Drosophila melanogaster: one gene and its partner. The protein of the gene in region 2 interacts with the protein of the main gene of each other region in a pairwise test. Each region holds a gene or a part of one and is shown on either strand. Other genes may lie near its edges.

Region 1 (4,577 bases), on a different chromosome or scaffold from region 2:
GAGCCCAGCTGTCGTTTATTCCAACTACATTCTTTCTATATGCGCCTGGTTGTGTACATATATGATGAAATCGAATGCGGTGGTTGGTTCTGGTTCTCGTTTCTCGAAACCGTTACGTGCCACATTAAACCTGCAAAAAAATAATACCCTAAATTTGTGGCTAAATGCAGGCGTTCGATCGCACAAAGTTGAACAAACTTGGATTGGAGCTAATGGGGCGTAAATTTGTGAGAACTTAATAGGTACAAAAATGTACATGAAGATTCGAGAGATTTTTGTTTTTTTTTTTGGTTTTTTTTTTCCATCTTCGAACACTTTTTTCTTAGCGCAGTAGTAGAATGAAGTGAACTGAATGCAAAGGATGCCCTTTTTGTTTTTGCAATATATCCTGGCATCAATTAACACTCTTATTATTACTACTTTCAGCATTTTTTTCACCTTTATATGCATATGCATTTGTATACTTTTTTATACCGTTTATTTAACTTTTACTACAACTTCCTTTGGCTAAAACTGCAAAGATCACACGATTACCCATGGCTAATAAAGCCAGAAAAAAAAAGAGTTTAGGAGGCGGAAACTCGAGCTCAGGAAATGCCCAGGTAAAAGTTATAAACATAATAGTTCAACGCTCTTCGGTTGCAGCTGTTAAAAAATATAAAAAAAATAGCAGAGATCATGGAGTGCGTAATAATAAAGTTGCCCAGTGCTCAGGGATCAAATTTCTAGTAATGATCATTTAATTGCTTTTAAACGTTTGATGGATTGATGGATTTCGATAGATTTTCGAATAATGAAACAACAAAAAATTCTCTGACATTATCAAATTTGTTTCAAAATACTATGATATCGAGCTGCATTCCCCATACTTTCTCATCGTTGAGCCGAGAATTCCGTCGAAGAGATTTCGAGTTCCATGGAAAGTTGACATTTTACTGGGGCAATCGACCCTAAGTACACCTACAACCGATCCGATCCGATCCGATACGATTCGGTGTTTGTTCAGTGATTAGACAACGACCGCTCCATATGCAAATACCCAAGTAAGCCCCATGTGCATGCGGCACAACACAGCGTGTGGAGGAGGAGAGTTCGCTTCCAAAGCTGGAAAGGAAGTTGGCCACTCACTACTAGCGAGCAAATAGCGCAGTGAGAAAACACAAAGGAAAGAGTGCCTAGAGTGCTAGGGGAATGGAAAAACTCGCCTTTTGCCGACGGTAAAAACGGTCTTTCTTGTTTCGAAAAGGTGGGTTTCCAAATCTGAGAGAGCATGCGCAGTCGGCGGAGAGCGAGACAGCGACAGCGATCGAGCGAGAGCGAGAACGAGATCAGCGAGACAACAAGGAGAGAGAGAGAGAGAAAGAGAGAGGAAAAAAAAACGACCACCTGTCCGAAAAGCGACAACAAAGCGAAGCCAAGGAAGACAGCGCAAAAGGAAGCGCGGTGAATACAAGCCATGAAAAGGAAGGCGAAGAGCGAAGAGGAGCTGCCCAAAAGGGAGACAAACGAAGAGGATCGAAAAGGGAATGGAGAAACACAGAGAACGCATTTGGGAGCGGATTCCGACGATTGCGTTTAAAGTGAAATTCTTTAAGGTAGGATTTGCAACAATCCTATAGGCTTATTAAGCAGATTAAGTAGCATCACTTCCTTTTTGGATTACAGTTGCATGGGTTTGCTCAGTCACTTATATGTGTTGCGAATGCATCCGATTTTATAGACCAACATTTCCTAGCTATGCAATGTAGCGATCTATCCAACGGGTTTAAGCGGAACTAGTCCAATGCAAATGTATGTATATTTTGTAATTGCAATTTTAGTTGTTTCATACTAAGTATGCTCCATTTAAAACTGACATCTAAGACCAAACAATTATGCGATTCAGTACTATTAGTTGAGATCCACATCTTTCAGCTATACAAGATCATCTTATCTCATAGTTTTGGTTCTGTAAAAAACCGTTCTTTGGCAAGCGTTTTGGAACGTTTTGAGCCTCCTGGAATTCCAGTTTGTGCACCCACCCTATTTTCGGGCGACCCCGCCTGTCACCCTGCCCTCCCCCCGCCTAGTTGTTCTGATCGGCGTCTCCGCTTTACTCACCAGTTCCGCGAACGGTGTTTGGCAAATTCGCAAACGCCAGCGTCAACAGCAGCAGAGGCAGCGACGCCGGCAGCGACGCAACGGCGTGCATTTTGTTAATCCAAAAACAAATCCAAGTGTTTGGTGCGCGACTGCGACGTCGGCTGCGCTGCGATTGCATTGTAATCCAGTTTTCCAGTTAACCACTTTTCCAGTTTTTCACCTCTACTCGCTTCTCGGTTTCTTTAGCGCTCCTCTTTGGTCTCTCTTTGAGGATATGTTTAACTGCGAGTTTAGGTTTAGTATGCTAGTCTCAGTAGTTTAAGCAATTTTTTGTTTTAGCGCGTTTGTTGTTTTTTTGTTTTTTTTTTTGTTTTTTATAGTTTTGAACTTCAGACTTTAAAGCTTTATTTGATAAACTAAGAGGAGGCACTCTCCCGACGACGGCGACATTTTCCGTTTTGAAACATAAAAAAAAAGTGGCAAAAAAAGAACGCTTTTCGTGTATCTTTTGCTTGCTTTTCTCTTCGCGAGGATCGAGCCACAAATTCAAATTCAAACCGACGCCGCACGCTTGCGTATTGCTCTCTTCCTCTTGCGCTTCTTGCACTCGGCTTTCGTCTCACTCTCACACACGCGCGACTCGAGGTAGATACACTTTTCGAAAATCCTTGTTTCTCTCCCTCTCTCTCTCTCGCTCTCTGTGTCGCTCTCTCGTTGCTATCCCTGCGACAGGCACTCCTTGCTCTTGCTGAACGGCTTTCCCGCTGGGGCCATCCTTTTCATTTCATTGCATTTGCTTGCTGTGTAATTGATTTGTTTGTATATCCTGTTGGCAGCGCGATTTTACGTGCGTTGTTGCACACACATTCAAAAAAAAAATAAATGTTGAGAACTGTGCTCTGCGCTTTCCAGGTTCGTCTGCCTAACGCTCGTCCGCTTTCACAACCGTTTCGTCCACTGGAAAAAAGCGATCTGTTTCAAATCGGCAGTGTGACCGCGTCGGTGCAAGAAAAAGATACCGTATGGCGGGGAGCCATTTTGGCAGCGCGCTCTTTCGCAGCGTTGCGAGATCGGTTGGTGAACAAATAACGTTAGCCGGGCTCCGAGCCGCTTGCATGAGTAGTTTCCCCATTTCGCCGAATGGCGCTTTAGTGCCGTCATAGCGGTATGTAGAAATTACGCTATGTAAAATGTAAAATTCGACAATGTAAGATTCGTAGAAATTACGCTATGTATAATGTAAAATTCGACAATGTAAAATTCGTAGGCACTGGAAAAAAATGTGCATAAATTTGATTGAAAAACGCACTTGTAGCATTTTTTAAGTATTTTATTTTCCTTTTGTTCTCGTATCTTTATTTCAACTAATTTGAGTTGTTCTCGACTTAAGTTAGGTTTTCCCGCAATACGTTCTTAGTTTTCATTTTCCGTACCTTTTTTTTTCGCAACTCCGCTTCCTGCAATTATCATACTTTACTTGGCTTAATAGGATTTCATTTGAATTTCATTTCGTTTCGTGTGTAACGTCTATATAATTGAACGCTTAATTGAATCGTTTGACAATTATCGAAAACAAAAAAAAATATGTAACACCATACTTATCTCCGATTTTCGGAACGCTATCCCAGTTAAAAAGCTCGGCGCAATTGGCCCACGGAAAGAATAGAATTAGATTCGAGTGTATAAATCAGTTTAAACGAACGGGCATTATTTTTAAGCATTTTCAGAATTACTTTAGATAAATACATACATATGTATATTCTCGAAAGAAACAAAAAATAAAATATGAAACAATAAATTAGTTAATTAATTACAGTATTGGCTTAGTGAATTAAGAACCCAACGAGGAATCATAAGGCAGCATTTCGTGTTAAAAATTGAACGCTTTACACTTAATTGCGTTTTTTTTTTTTTTGGTAGATCGCTCAAATGTTTTACAAATTGTTTCTAAGCTTTTTAAGTTTTTCTTTTTACCTTTAAAATTCTTCATTTACGTCTATAAATAGGCTTAAACCTAAACTAGGCAGACAAAAAAAAAAAATTACAAACATTCTCTCTAATCTTAGCTAGTCATTTTTTAATTCAAGCGTTGACATACACATTTATGCTCTATATATATATATATATATATATATATACGATATACAATATTTCATTTGCTTCTTTACATAATTGATTTAAGTTCAAATATCATTTACGCGCTTAGGGCTAGACAAAAAAATATTCAACTTTTCACATGGATGCTGAAATGCTGTGCCACTGAAAACCCGATCAAAAAGTTGGAAAGTGGGAACTATATATATATATATATATATATATGTTGGTGGTTTTTCTAATTTTATTCACTTTACTCGTAAATCACCAATATTTGGACATCTTTTTGTTTTTAGTTTTTTGCGGCTTGGGGATTATCGATTAAATTGCAATAATACTGTAGCATCCCGTAAAAATATAGTTTTCAATTCAATTTCAATTTTGTTTGTTTGTGTGCAAAA
Region 2 (4,931 bases):
AAGTTGAGCAGCAGCATTGACCCCAACTGACTCAACGACAAAATATGCCACAGAAAAGGACGGCATTAGAGCGTCGAACAGAGATGGCAGACGCACAGAAGGAGATGGAGTTGAAGACTGGAGCCTCGGGAGATCTCTCGTATCCGAATAAATGCAGAACATGGTGCGAAATATTTAATACAAAAATGTTGAAAAGGAGTTTGGCCTGACAAAATAAAGCACCACACTAAACCATGTACAGTGAAATGTTGATAACTTAAACTGGGATTACTGCATATGTTATTCTTTGCATAAGCTGACCTTAGAAAAACATTACCCTGTTTCTTAAATGGAGAAAGTAATGGAGGAGCTTTTAAAAATTTCAACATCAACATATATATACTACAGTTATTTTTTATTTAATCAAATCCACAAATTCACACCCGGAATGAAATTTTTTTTATTTCAAGAATTTTAAGATTGAAATGGTATGCATTTATTTTCTTCTTATTGTAGTTTTTTAACTTAAGTGAAATAAGGCTTATGTTATATGGATTCAAAAATGAATGAATACAGGAAATTCCATGGCGCGCAGTTCGCGATACGGAGGCAAACCTGTAGCAGCCAACTGCAGCAGACGAAGCGAGGTGAGGCCAAGTAAACCTGTTTACAGTTCAAACTTCGCATTCGATATATTCGATGTGAACTCTTTTTTGTTGTGCCATAGTAGGTATGTTCGTCTGGCAGGTTCTGGGGCTGCTTCTTCTTGGCCAACCGAGTTGTTTTAAGCCACCTACGAAGTCGAAGCTTAGGCCGGGTTATCTTCAGCTTAATTGGGTCATTCACACGCGCCACTTGCTCGTCGATAGAGATGGATATACGGCTCCAGAGGGAGATAAAGATACAGCTGGAGACACTGCTGAAAAACACACACAACTTTTTCAGCCTAGCAACAACTTCCGGTGTCTCAAAGACGAAACGAACAAGAAACTAAAGACGAGGCATACATTACATGTTAGACCACTCGAAGACGTACATATGCGAAGACGGGGGCAAAACAAACGGCGGCGAACAGAGGGAGATACATGTATGTAAAAAAAAAAAAAGGAAAGGCAAATAATACTGTTTATCAAGTGATGAAAAGCATTTAAAATGTCGAGTATGCCAGGTATTGTGTTTAAATGCATGCCCTTCGTCGCATTTCGGTTGGAATGCATCTGATATTGGTAAGGAGAATGTTCAAAAGACATAAGCTGAATGCTGTTAATAATTTTAAAAATATTTAAGCAATAAATGCATATATTGCATAATGGCATTAAAACAAAAGGCAATACAGAATTCTTTATTTGAATATTTATTTTGATTTTTGGAGTTACAAAAAACTAACGATAATAATATAAGATGGAATGTTTCGTATACAAAATACAAATAATAAGATCCAAAAGAAATTTATAAATCAATCTTAAAAAACTCTTTAATATTCGAAAGAATTAAAATTCTTCTTTCCCCAAAAATATATATTGAAATATTTCTCGAATTGGTTTTAAAAAAGAAAATTCTAGTATCTTATAGATTGAAGTAACGAAACAACGGTAGATCTCTCCCACACTCAATCTTTTCTACCTACAAGGATCAAACGAAATCAAAGGATCAACGTTGAAGAAGAAGCAGAGAGAGAGAAAGAAAGAATCAAAGACAGGGCAAAAACAAAGTCATCAGTCCAAAGACAAAGGCAAATAAATGGAGAGACAAAAGAGACGGCCATAAAAACTCAACCGACAACTTCTGGATGTGCGAAAGGGACGGCAAGGGTAGAGCGAGAGGTGTGTGCATCCATCATTTTCTAGGCGATGCAAGCAAAAGCAATAGCAACAACCACAACAAACTGCAGTTTGGGCTTAGGAAATTATTTGGCAATTCCAAAGCCTCGAAAAACTGGTCTTGATCCATTTTTAAAAGCCGAGCTTTGACTCAAGCTCCCCTCAAACATAAAAACATCAATCATGCGAAGTTCTACACGAAAAGCGCTTCAAGGTCTTATCAACATGAGAAGAGAAAAAAAGGCATATGAAAACCCGAAATAGAACTGGTTTTGAAATGCAAAAAGCCACCCACACGAAACTAAAACGCTATAAACTAATTAGGCGATAAGAGACTTAACTTACTTACCCAGAAGCTGTGCTGATAATCCAACTTGATTTTGATTTCCTTTGATTTGCTATTTGCTATTTTCCATTTGTTATTACTGTTGTTATTTCAACTTAGCATTTATCCAATGCTTTGAATTTTAATCCAACTGCAACAACAACAAGAACGGCACAATTTTATTAGCTGGCCAATGCAACAACAATCAAAAGAGCAGAAACTCTCCGCTCTCCTCTCTCGATGTCTTCGTGTATGTGCAAAAATCAAAACAAAACACGGCAAAAACACTTATAACTCAAAGAGAGCGAATGAGAGAATGAGAAAGAGAGTGATCCGCTTTGCTTTTGTTTTAGTTTTTAGTGACTGCAACATGTTGAATGTGTTTACTCTTGCCCTAACGGTAAATGCTAGAGCTGCAGTTTAAAAATCCTCTGCTCGTCTCGAATTGAAAATCAAAAATTTACACGCGGCAATTTTCTTTTGCATCACAAAATCCACAATCACTCACACGCACACACAAACACACATATATATATATATATATATATATATATATATATATAAACGCACACCTTTAAAAAGGACGCTGTTGAGGGTTGCATTTTATGTTAAACATAATATTAATTATTTGCTTACTTTTATCTCACAATGCACTCTTAGAAATTTCCACTGTTATGTTATTCATGTGTTTGCATAAAACTGGAGAAATTAAACACGGTATCTCAACAAAAATAAAAGAAAGCCGCCAACAAAATCGGTTATGTTTGACTTCTTTTCACTTTGATATACACCTTAATTCATTTGCTTGTTCAATTAGCATGCACTCCTTAGTTATTTGGTACAGTGTATTTTTTACGAGAGTTCTCGACAATTTTCGAGCGCTAAAACAAAGAAACCGCGCTCGATGATAAAAACCGCGTCCGACTGCCGCTGTTTTTTTGTTGTTTTGAGAGGCGCTAGTGGTGGAACGATGGCTGGGAAAACATCGATAACGCTATCGATCAAGCGATTACTTATCCTTCTGTTGCTGACGATGTTTTCCAGTTGAATGTATGGCAGCACTGCTTATTTAGTCACAAAAATTATATTTGAATTAAAAAGCCGATTTTGTTATCAAGAAATAAATTTTGAAGTGAAAATGTTTTCCACAAATGTTTTAATTCATTAAGTGCCACTTGTCGCAATTAAGTAACTGAATAGGTTTTAAATAATAAGTAAATAAATATCATTGTTAAATATTTATAAATGAGCATTCATTTGCAGCTTTAAATAGATAAACATTTTACATATTTGTACATTGACATCACAAACATTTCAACTAAAATTTAAACTCGTATAACATTACGCTAAAGTATCGCTTAAATATTGGCTCGCATCCCTGGTACTCTTGTTACGTTACGTTATTCGGCAATTACATCAGTCTGGCAACTCTGGCCCTCACACACACTCAGTCGCCCCCCAAATGTATCGGAAACATGCAGCCGAGATAAAATAGTGAAAAACTAGTTACCAAACATAACCGATCAGTGCGGATAATAAGAATTGGCAATTCAAAATTAAATGGTAAACGAACGTCGGCGCGATTAATTAAACTCAACCATAGGAACGCGGAGAGAGTGGCCAGTGAAAGCCAGAACACTCTCTTTCGTCGGAGCGTCTGTGTGTGTGTGTGTTACGTGTGTGCGTATGTGTCTGTGTTGACAAAATACAACAAATCGCAGCGAAAACAGGAAGTGTACGAACGATAAAGCATAAGATTGCACATTTCGCATTAAAATAGGCGACAAAAACCCGGGGGCGCATGCAGATCCACACATTTCTGGCCCACTCACACTCACACAACGCAGATCAGGGGGCGTTTTTCTAGATCAGTGACCAAGTCTTATATGGCTTTATGTTTTGATGCTGCACTAAATATGGGTGAAACATCACGTCATTTATGCCACGCTCCTTCTCCAAAAACAAAGATCATGTTGATTTCACTGCATTTGAATATATATATATATATATACAATAGTTAATGTTCGTGTGCGTCATTCGCTCATCAGCTATATAGTATACGAGTGTTGTTATTGTGGATCGCTTTCGCATGTTAATGCTTTTGTGTGTTATTTTTTCCATTCCATTTTTTTTTTATCAAAGTTTCGCGCTATCGCCCAGTCAGCTCAGAAGCAGCCGCTCCCCAACTGAGAGCACAGAGAAACCAGCTCTGGCCACTTGCTCCTCCGGATCCGGCTCCTGCTCCTGTCCCCGATCCCCTCCCCCACCCGCCAAATCCTGATCCTGCTCCAAATGACTGACGGCGAACAGCAGGAGGCGCTGGTCAAGCGGGCCGAGGACGAGCGCGAGGACATCTTCCGGCGCTACGAACTCGGGCTGGATCCCAGCAATGTGGTGGACTCCTGGGAGAATCCCACCTTCGAGATCTACCACAGGACAGACAAGTGAGTAATATTAATCATTCGCCAGAAAAAATCCCAATAATGCCATTGATGCTCCCACAGATATGGCTTCTTGCACGACTCGCGGCTGCCGTCGACGCGTGATGCCCAGGAGGTGCATCGCAACAAGATTGAAATGGAGCGGGACAAAAAGTGGATGAAGATGCTAAATCAGTGGCCGCCGCCCCAGGATAAGCTGCACAAGCGCGTCTACAAGGGCATACCGGATCGCGTGCGTATGGTGGCCTGGAATAAGCTGCTCGACATCCAGCAATCGATAAACAACAATGCTGGCGTCTACCTCCGAATGCTGCAGCTGGCCAGGAAGTACTCCACGGAGACGCGACAAATCGATGCCGATGTGAA

What was found.
Region 1: the proteins of mam (region 2) and N interact in a two-hybrid assay, tested with the Drosophila melanogaster proteins (5 studies listed by BioGRID).

The regions. Positions count from the first base shown.
Region 1 is NC_004354.4:3,133,351-3,137,927, reverse strand, and holds the start of N (notch), read right to left. Parts: upstream 3,059-4,577; 5' UTR 2,261-3,058; coding exon 2,101-2,260; intron 1-2,100. UniProt on the Drosophila melanogaster protein: Essential signaling protein which has a major role in many developmental processes. Functions as a receptor for membrane-bound ligands Delta and Serrate to regulate cell-fate determination.
Region 2 is NT_033778.4:13,989,322-13,994,252, reverse strand, and holds the start of mam (mastermind), read right to left. Parts: upstream 3,051-4,931; 5' UTR 2,761-3,050; intron 2,276-2,760; 5' UTR 2,149-2,275; intron 1-2,148. Other genes in the region: RN-tre (uncharacterized protein), read left to right, coding at 4,417-4,568, 4,629-4,931.